Linked DNA regions of Drosophila melanogaster. The protein of the gene in region 1 interacts with the protein of each later gene in a pairwise test. Each region holds a gene or a part of one and is shown on either strand. Other genes may lie near its edges.

What was found.
Region 2: the proteins of CG3916 (region 1) and FucT6 interact in a two-hybrid assay, tested with the Drosophila melanogaster proteins (one large-scale study listed by BioGRID).

What each region holds. Positions count from the first base shown.
Region 1 is NT_033777.3:12,227,438-12,230,990, reverse strand, and holds CG3916 (uncharacterized protein), read right to left. Parts: upstream 1,579-3,553; 5' UTR 1,536-1,578; coding exon 900-1,535; intron 840-899; coding exon 672-839; 3' UTR 566-671; downstream 1-565.
Region 2 is NC_004354.4:11,705,907-11,712,026, forward strand, and holds FucT6 (alpha1,6-fucosyltransferase), read right to left. Parts: upstream 4,046-6,120; 5' UTR 3,542-4,045; coding exon 3,297-3,541; intron 2,889-3,296; coding exon 2,339-2,888; intron 2,230-2,338; coding exon 1,805-2,229; intron 1,740-1,804; coding exon 1,100-1,739; 3' UTR 669-1,099; downstream 1-668. Other genes in the region: amun, read right to left, coding at 5,604-6,120. UniProt on the Drosophila melanogaster protein: Catalyzes the addition of fucose in alpha 1-6 linkage to the first GlcNAc residue, next to the peptide chains in N-glycans. The addition is prevented if the GlcNAc residue is already fucosylated.

The DNA.
Region 1 (3,553 bases):
CTGACTAGTGTGGCGCGAAGAGGCTGAGCTCCACATTATTTGAACCTAATTACACAGACGCAGTGGAGCCCAGACCGAAGTTAAAGTTAAAGTCAAAGTCGGCGCCCCGTCAAATTGGTATACCAATTGCAGCATAGAAACGGCGGGAACATAAAAATGTTTGCACTTCGTTTTTGTCGCGCATAAAATCTAATATCGAATTACAAGGCCCGGTCTTTGGAGAGGAGTCCAGAGTTCGCAGAACAGTGTGCGTGTCAGCGAAACTTTGTGGCAGGCTCCGTCGACCAAGCGCTCCGGCTCCACATCCCCACGTCTCCACATCCTCAAGCTCGCATCCACATCCCGCTGCCATAAAGAAACTGAATTGAGTTAAATGCGCGATAAATTGCTTTTTGCATTTATCATGGTCGCCCTGGCAGGCGGCAGCCCAAGTTTTCGCTGGAGTCGGGCCAAGCCTAGACCACGAAGATGGCAAGGCGACTCTGTGGACGCCACACCCGGACTGCCGAACTCCTCCACCCTCCCTCTGGCTGTGGCGAATATTGAACAAGATTTTTAATTAGTCGCCAAAGCGTAGAAAGTGGGGGGATGTGACCAAGAACGCAAGACTTCGAGGAATTTAGTCAAGTTCGGGCAGAGACTCGGTTTATTTATGCGCTACAGGTCGGTATTTATTGGGCCAAGTCTTGGTTGATCACCTGACTGATGTAGGGCAGAAAACTGGACACCCGCGTGTAGACGTCGGGTCTGCCCTGGGCACAGGTGGATGATCCGTAGGAGACAATTCCCACCAAGTGCGGCTGCTTACCGGGCCTAATCAAGGGTCCACCAGAGTCGCCCTAAGTTTGGGAAAGCATGATTAATTCCGCTTAGCGTGATATTACTTTTTGTTTACTCACCACACATGCCCCTTGACCCTGGACAGCCAGTGCGCAGATCTCGTTCCGAGTCACCCGAAATCCCTTTTGATTGCAATCCTCGTTCGAGATGGTGCGATAGTTCAAAGCCTGCAGCTGATCGGGCAGAGTCGCCGAGGAAGTGGATGGACTGGTGGATCCCCAGCCGGTGAGGCGTACCGGAACCTTCTCGCCAATGCGATCCGAGCCACCGATTAGAATTGTACTGATATCGGATCGCTCCAGGCGGAACGGCGGAGTAACCTTGACCAGGGCAATGTCATTGATAATGCGAGGATTCATCGAGTACTGGGGATGGACGTGCTTGGTCACCAACCGGTGACGTAGTCCACCGGCCTTCCAGTTAAGCGTCCCCACGACCACGCTAACGTCCTCGACCTTCATCTTCTCCATACAGTGGGCCGCCGTAAGGACGTGCTGACCGCTCACAATGGATCCTCCACAAAAGTGCTGCCAGCGTCCACGTCGCTGCATTTGCAAGGACACCTGGAAGGGCACCGTCTCGTTCACGCGCTGTCCTCCATTTATCCTAGTGGGTGATTCGGTGGTCGAGGTTACCACGTCAGCTAGTCCTTGGCGAAGGATCAACAACATGCAGAAAAGCTGTAGTACTACCATTTCAAAATACGATCACGATTCAACTGTTGGAAATGAATTGCATTCCACTGCAACCCATCCATTTTATACATCTCCATGCAGAACAGCCTTATCATTTATTTGGCAATGTAAACATTTAAATTCCGGTGATCTTGAAATGTAATGTGGGCTGAATCGGTGTGACCTTTCCCAAATATCTCCTACAAATAACACATATGTGCTCATGTACACTTAACAAAAATACTTTCCTTTTTGTACATTAATGTAATTCAATTTAATACATATATTTAAAGATAAACATTGGCCAGATCTATGTAATATATACCATTTTCAAAAATTCGGATTCAAACAGTAGTCGAGGAGATCCCACCTGCTGCTCCGCTCCGTGCTGCCCAGTTGTCGCTTTGCGTGTCTGGTTATCATAAGCTAGCCGGGATGCGATCCTTCGATGCCATCATAATACTGGGCTTGACAGAAGCGCCTACCTGTTGTCATCAATTAGGTAACACGCTCACGCGACCGATAAATATTAAGGCAGCTCTAGCCGAATCCCCATATCGGTATCTGTCTATCTGGGCGACTGAGAATTCGTATCTGGTCGCTGTTCCCTGGCATGATCTCTTATCTGATTTGCAAATAAGAATCTGTTTAATTTGCCAATGCTCGAGCGCAAAACCAACGCCAGATCGCTGCATGTGTTGGTGTCCAGAGTCATAATTTATATTACTAGTTGGAGAGGAGTGGAGTGGGATTCCTCTGATTCGCTGGAAGAACGAGGTGCTGCTTGTGGTGCGATCCTGGGCAAATTAAGTACTAAAATAAACGACCAATTTACTGATTATGCAAAACACGCAATTAATTTTCCACTTGCAAGCGAGTGCGAAAATTAATTGCCTGCGAAGTGGAAAACTCATTCGACTAACCAGACTGATCCCGTTTGTTTATGTGGGGTTCCGTCATAATCATTTGCATACGAGTCGATGCAGAGGAAAGTTTTTCCAACCTGTTCTTGATTGACCCCAAAAATCAACATGGCTAGTTATACCCTTCCAGAGCTGCTACTGTATTTAAAGCCTGATACATGCACACACATAAAATGCCACTTCTTCTCCCACTCCGGACAGATCATAAAACCAGCGGCTCTGCTTTATAAACTCGGCCAATAAATCAAGCTGAAGACGTTGGCGGCAAAGAGACAAACAAGAACACAAGTCCCGAAAACAAAAAGCCCATAAAAATTGCACCGGCAATGAATGTGGCCTGTTCTTCTGGGCCACACGCACAATTCTACAGAAGTTGGCTGGCGAACTGGCTAACTGACCAACTGGCGAACATGGCCCAGAAGCAGAGCCATCCAGCGGGGCAGGCAATCAAACAAAATGTCATAATAATGATGGCGTCCCGTCGGAGCCGACGGGCAGGATGCTTATCTTGTTAACACCGAACCGATCCACCAGCCCTTCAAGAGGAGAATATGGTCTCGGGAACACCGCTGATGATGAAATGATTAAAGTGCACTTTATTAGTGGGAATTTTGAGCATCGTCTGCGATTTTTGCCTTTATCATTAAAGCGGTTTTTTGTGACTGCTGGTTGTGCAAACTCGAAACTGTTTAGCAGCTTAAAGTGCAAAGTGGTTGTAGGAAGTAAGAATAATATGTATATGTGCACTTTTCACTAGCTTATAACAATAGAAATGATCCCATTGTTTTTTAAAACTGACATTGTTTTTTTCCTCGATTAAATAAAAATGTATAGCAAACTTCTTGGTGTGTACATTTTCTTGATTAAATTTCGCTCGCTAGAACAAAGCCTAATGAGTTAACACAGGGATTAACCCGTCAACCTTAAATCTCCTAAAGACGCACCAAGCCCACATGCAAATTAGAGGCGGGAATCAAGCATAAAGTCTGCAGATAAGTCATGCCTTGACAGGGTGGTCCAATTAACAATTGGAGGCAGGAGGCAACACGACAGGCGCCAGAGTCGGATTCAGATCCGCAGACACATCCTGTAGATGGAGTCTCTCGCTCTCTGGCG
Region 2 (6,120 bases), on another chromosome or scaffold:
AAGATATCCTAAAATTTTATAATAGCTGATTATTATCAATCCTAACGATCCCATTAACTTTTGGCAATTTTTTATATTTTTTTTATAATTTTGCAAAAAATGGCCAAAAAATAGAATTCACATTTTTAAAAACAGTTTGTTTCGGAATTCAATTACGAGCTCAACGATGTATGACATTCCATATTTGGACCATAATTTTTAAAGTTTCGCTAAAATAAATAAATAAATCAATAAATTATTGATTTTCAAAACCAGCTGCCTGATGAAATTCAACGACAAAAAATTAGAATTTCCAATTTTGAATAAGGAATTACACATTTTTGAGGAAAATTTTTAGATTTTTCGTACCAGGCGATCATAACCAGTAGCAGAAAACAAACTGCCAGTCTGTACAAAATGCACATTTTTATGGTAAATATATTGATTTTTTGCATCAGGCGATTACAATAAATAGCAGGTGTATACTGAAAACGAAATTCCAAAAGATCGTTGGTCTCATTCTGAAATTTCTGTTCGCCTGGTAGCGAAGCCCACAGCCCAGAGTTGCAGAAAAGGTAAATCGCTTTCAATATTTGCTTTTTAAAACATTACTATTTATTTCTTTTACTATGACGCTTGAATTTATCAGTTTTAGTTTTGTTTTGCGTTCGTTTTTTATCTTTGTTTTTGTTTTCTTTCAACTATTTTACAGGTGATAGACTATATTGCGCTTAGTGAAACTACATGCACTTCTATATATAATTTATTTATATATATAAATATCTTTATGTATATTCTTGTCAACATAATTTCTTCGGCTTTCGACTTACATCTTATTAAAAGACTTGTACAAATGCAGAATAAGAATAAGAATAAGATTCGGAATCGAAATCAGAGCGTAAAAGTGCGCAGACGAGAACATGAAGAAATAGTCACATATTGATGGACAAGTACAGAAAGAGCGAGATTTCATTTGAGATTCTGGACATTCGATAGATTCTGGTGATGCTGATCCGAGCCGAATCGATATGCACCATGGAAATTCCAGGTGGAATGCGGCAGATAGGATTTACAGATCGATCAACAACATGGCCGAGAATGTAGTGATGTGAGCAACTAACTAAATGCCCGCATAGAGAGGCAGCTTGGCGGTGTCCACCTTCTCCTCCACCTTGAACGAGGGGAATAGGCCGCCCTGGTTGGTGCGGGTATTCTTGCCCTTGGAATTGCCATCCCAATGGTTACCAGCCACCGAGACGAGGTCACCAACACGCAGCTGTAGATCCTCGTGCGTGCGCGGCTTGTGGGCGATAACGACGCGGCGATTGTGCGCATTCTGGCCACCGTAGTAGTATATGTCGTCCAGCGACTTGAACCGATGCGCTGCATCCGGATACATCGTCTGCATTATCTCGTAGGCCACGCGACACACCTGCGACGAGAAGGTGCACACCAGATGATCGGACATGGAAAGCAGGTGGATATCCAGAATGATCCCGTTCAGGGCGGTGTCCGTGTATCGTGTGGATACGGACGCCATGCGCGCCACCTCCGGATCACCAATGATCTGGTACTGCGGGTACTTTCGGCGCGCCTCCTCAATAACCTGGGCATCATCCGATGCGAGGAAAATCCGGCGAGCCACAGTGCTGCCGTTTACCTCCAGCGTGCGGTAGTAGTCCTCGACATAGGTCATATACTCCTCCACACTGTGGCAGGCCGCTTCTGTGCCCACTTTGTCCGTGCGACGGACATGAACGCTGTAAGAAAAAACCCGAATATTTAATTTTTTTCAAAAGAACAAATCGACTCTTGGTTCACTTACCCAACAATGGGACGCTCCCAACCCAAATTGCGCATGCCAGAGGTAAGAAAATCCCGCGTCGTTGGTTGCGGTCGGAGCAAATACTTAAGGAACTGACCCACCCACCAAACGATGGGGTCTCCATGCAGACGCTTAAGTCTCGGCGCCAGATCCTCGGGAACGGCGAGCGGCAGGTACGGCGGTCTCGGCATCAGCGAGTCAATGATGGGCAACACCAGCACCTGGGTGTTCGGCTTGCCCGGCCAATTGTATGTGTTGGCGGTGCCCGCATCATGGCAGCTGTTGGACACCGGTTGGAACACCTCCTCCCAGCCGCCCTTGTGATACCGCCATCCGCGGGATTTTAAGATGAGCGTCCGCTCGGTGGCGTAGGCCACTATAAAGCAATACACCACATGGTGCAGTTGGCAGCCGTAGCCACAGCCCTGGGGATTTAGGAATAACGAATTAGATTAATGGCTGACAAGTAAGGTGGCATTATAGTAACCGAAAGATTAGCTCAAGAAATAGGAATAATAAGAATATATAACGCACCTTGTTGAGCTTACAGACCAGCTTGCGAGCATTCTGGCAATCACTGGGATTCTGTAGATGGTGCAGGCGCCGCTGTACCAAATCGCTCAAATCCCGTGCCTCCTTGTGTCGCCAGGCCTCGTAGCCATCGGACTGACGCATCCGCTCCATATCGCTCAGCAGGGAGCGCTTGTGCTCGGCGCCTTGGAGCAGCACCTGGTTAATGGACTCCTCCAAATCGGCACTCGCATGGCCGGCGGCCACTGCCTTACGCACTTTGCCCAGTTCACTGCTGAAGAAATTCCAGATCTCACCGATGTTCGTCTGGATGCGTCTGCGCGTGAACTCGTACTCTAGGCTGGGCTCGAATTCGCCATGATCCGGAACACCGGCCTCCAGATCATTGGGCGCTCCCTCGGCCACATTATTCCAACCGCGCAGATCAGCGGGGGCGGACTCGAACATGGATTCTGGTTCCGGGCCGGCGACCTCGGGCGCCAGCTTTGGATTTAGCGCATCGTTCTCCAGCCTTTGCACCAGTTTCATTGCGCTCTGCTTGTCCAGTTGGTCACTGGAAAATAAAAAAAAAAAAGAGGGAGATGGGGGTTCAGGTTAGCAAAGCAGCTTATCGCATGTAATTCCGCCTACGTGCCATGAATAATTAGCCTGGCTGCTGACAAAACATCATTATGGTGATCGCAAAAGTGTAACTGCTATGGTACAATGTTTCAGGAAGCTATATTTAATACAAATACTATTGAAGCTTCTTTATTTCTACATAAACCGAGAACTGGTTATTGATTGATGCTAATCTCTTTGATATCACAGCTATGGCGGTATTTAAAATCGCAATTAACGTGTATAATCATTTGTTTACTTTATAGCAAGACCAAAAGGGGTTCCAGGCGAGTGCTAACAATGATATATTTTGTGCTATTGTGCTGCCCCCGGCTGTATCCCCACAGCTCCAGCCACCTACCTCATCAACTCGTCGATGAGCTGTTTAAGCTCCTCATTGCGCTGTCTCGTGTGCTCCAGCATCTGGAGCGCCTGTGATATGCGACGGGCGTTCAGCTCACTCTCCCCGGCCGCCTGCTGGCCCTGAGTATTGGTCAGCTTGACCACGAACACGTAGACCAACCCGATCCAGGCCAGTACGAATATGATGAGGGCGCGTGCCCAGGAGTTGGCCGAAGCCCCGAATAGCTGACGCACCAGCAGCATGCCGGCGTTTCCACTGCTGCTCCTGCTCCTCCTCCTCCTCTGGATTCTGCCCTCCGCTCGCCGGGACCACAATCGATCTTCCAGGGGATCAAGGAACGGGGCTCCGAACGGGGGCGGACTCGGAAATGCTCTCTACGTGTACTTCAATGCGGAGCTGTTTCGATTCCGGTGCATAGTCTCAATTAACTCCGATCCGGCCAGCAACCAAGGCGATCCAATGACATGGTCGGCGGGGCTAGGATTCCTCTTCGATTTATAGATATTTTATAAAGGATATATGGACGTATGGGATGGTGGCCAGCTGGAATGCAAGTTTCACGGAGCTCGATCAATGCCAGAATGAAATTGACTGATGGGCCGGTGGTCTATATCGCCGATCGAGTTGGCCAGGTAGTCGTGGCAAGTCAAATTAAGTGCAAAAGTATTCTATATATTTCCGTCCTGTTCTGTGTTTTCTTTTGATTAGCACTAGAGCTGTGTTGTTAGCACACCATGCTATCGATGCATAGACATCGATACATCTGCCCACTTGAAGAGCGTTGCCATATTCGGACGAGCCATTACATTATTTTCGATAAGTCGATGACTAGTTCCAACGGCTCTCGATGTAACGCCTATTCAAACACCAAATGCAAAAACCCCATTGAAGTGATAAAACAATTGAAGATGATTGTGGGATGTTTTCAGTTTTATGCCGTGTTTTCTTAATATTTCACATTTTATTCGCACTTATGCTACTAATAATAAAAATGATTATAATTTTCAGATGTGTTGTTACTTTCAAAGTTCCGACCGATCTGCGAGTGGTATGGGTCGTGGATATCGGGGAAACCACCCGGTACCGGCAACCCAAACCACGCGGAGATCGGACGACCTGCGTCGGGTGCAATTAAGATGCGGGCCGTATGCTTCCGTATCTTCTTTTTTCTCTTTTGGAAATCAAATGAAACGTGATTATCGTATAAATTATAAAAAATTCAGTATATGTAAAGTTAAAAAAAAGTTTTACACATAATATAAATTATATTATTATAATTACGACCACAAAAATTTCTTAGTGTTGAAATGAGTTTTGTTTTGTTTTGTTTCTTCCGAGTGTTTGTGTGTTTATGTGTGTGGGGAGGGGGTGTATTCTGTGTGCGGCGTGTTTTGAGTGAGAGAGATAGAGAGAGAGCGCGAGTTGCTGCGGGTCGACGGTCGAAGGGGGTGGTGGTGGAGTTGGTGGTGGGGGGCTTGGTTTATACGACAAGTTTTGATTTATTATTAAATTTAAATACCTATGTATATAAATTACGTTTCTGTTTATTATAATTATTGTTGTTTCCATCTTAATCATTTTGTTTTCTTTCGCTTTTTATTTTTCATATTTTTTTTTTGTTTTTTGTATGTAGTGGGCAACTGCGGCATTTGTAAATTTCTTTATATTTAAATGTTCCTTTTGACTGTGTAAAAATATCGATTTCCATCTGATCTTGTTTTGTAGTTACTATTCATGTATGCATTTGCTTTTCGTTTTAGTTAAATTACGTTAACGCTGCATTCTGAACTCTCTGTTGCTGCTGATTCTGCTGCTTGTTCTTCGGATTCTTGATCGGATTCTTCTGATTCTTCATCTTGGCGCGCTTTCTATGCTATTGAAATGTTGTTTGTGGTGCTGCTTACTGCCTTCTGGATCGGGATCCTATATTCCGCTCTGATCTGATCGGTTATGTTCATGTTATGTCGGGTTGTGTGTGTCTGTGTTGTGTGTATGAGAGTGGAGTGTGTTGGGTGTTCGCATCTCGTTATATGTTGTATATATATATATATATATGTGTATATATATATATATATAATATATTATATGTATGTATAGTTAGTTGCTTAATAGTAGAATTTCTTGAATGTTGTTGTGGTAAAGTGTAGGTAATGTTGCTCTATGTCTCTATGTCGACTCAACTGCACTACATACATATGTCTTTCCACCGGATACGCGGCGAACCGAAACGTGCCGAGCCGAACCGATCCCCGTTTCTGACCCGCATCCGCATCCGTATCCGTATTTCGTTTCCTCACCTCCGCCTCATTCGCTGCGCAGTTTCTTTAGATCCGGTGACTTCTCCCCCACGCCCACACCCACTCCGCCGGCGTTCTTCAGCTCCATATCGCAGTGCAGGGCAGTACGCTTCTGTCCAATGGCTGGTGCCGAGTCTGCACCCGCTGCTACCGGTGAAACCGCATCCACCGCCTTGTTCGCCGCCAGCTGCTGCAGTTTACTGTCCCTCACAATGCCGTTGCTGCTATTGCTCTCGTCAGCCTCTAGCTCCGCCTCATTATCCTCCTCCTCGTCCAGCTCATCTTCCTCCTCGTCCTCCGCCTCATCCTCATCCTCGTCGCCCAGGACGCCGTTCCCGTTACCATTTCCATTGGCTGGTGCTGCAGTCGCTTTGCTGGCTGGCTGTGGTGCTGCTGTAACCGCTTCCTCTTCTGCCAAAGGAGCAGGCTGACCGTTGTTGGTGATCGAATTGTTAGTTTTGTGGGGCTGGCTCGGCGACTGCTTTTGATTCTGATTCTGGCTCGAGTGCTGTGTGGGAGTCAGG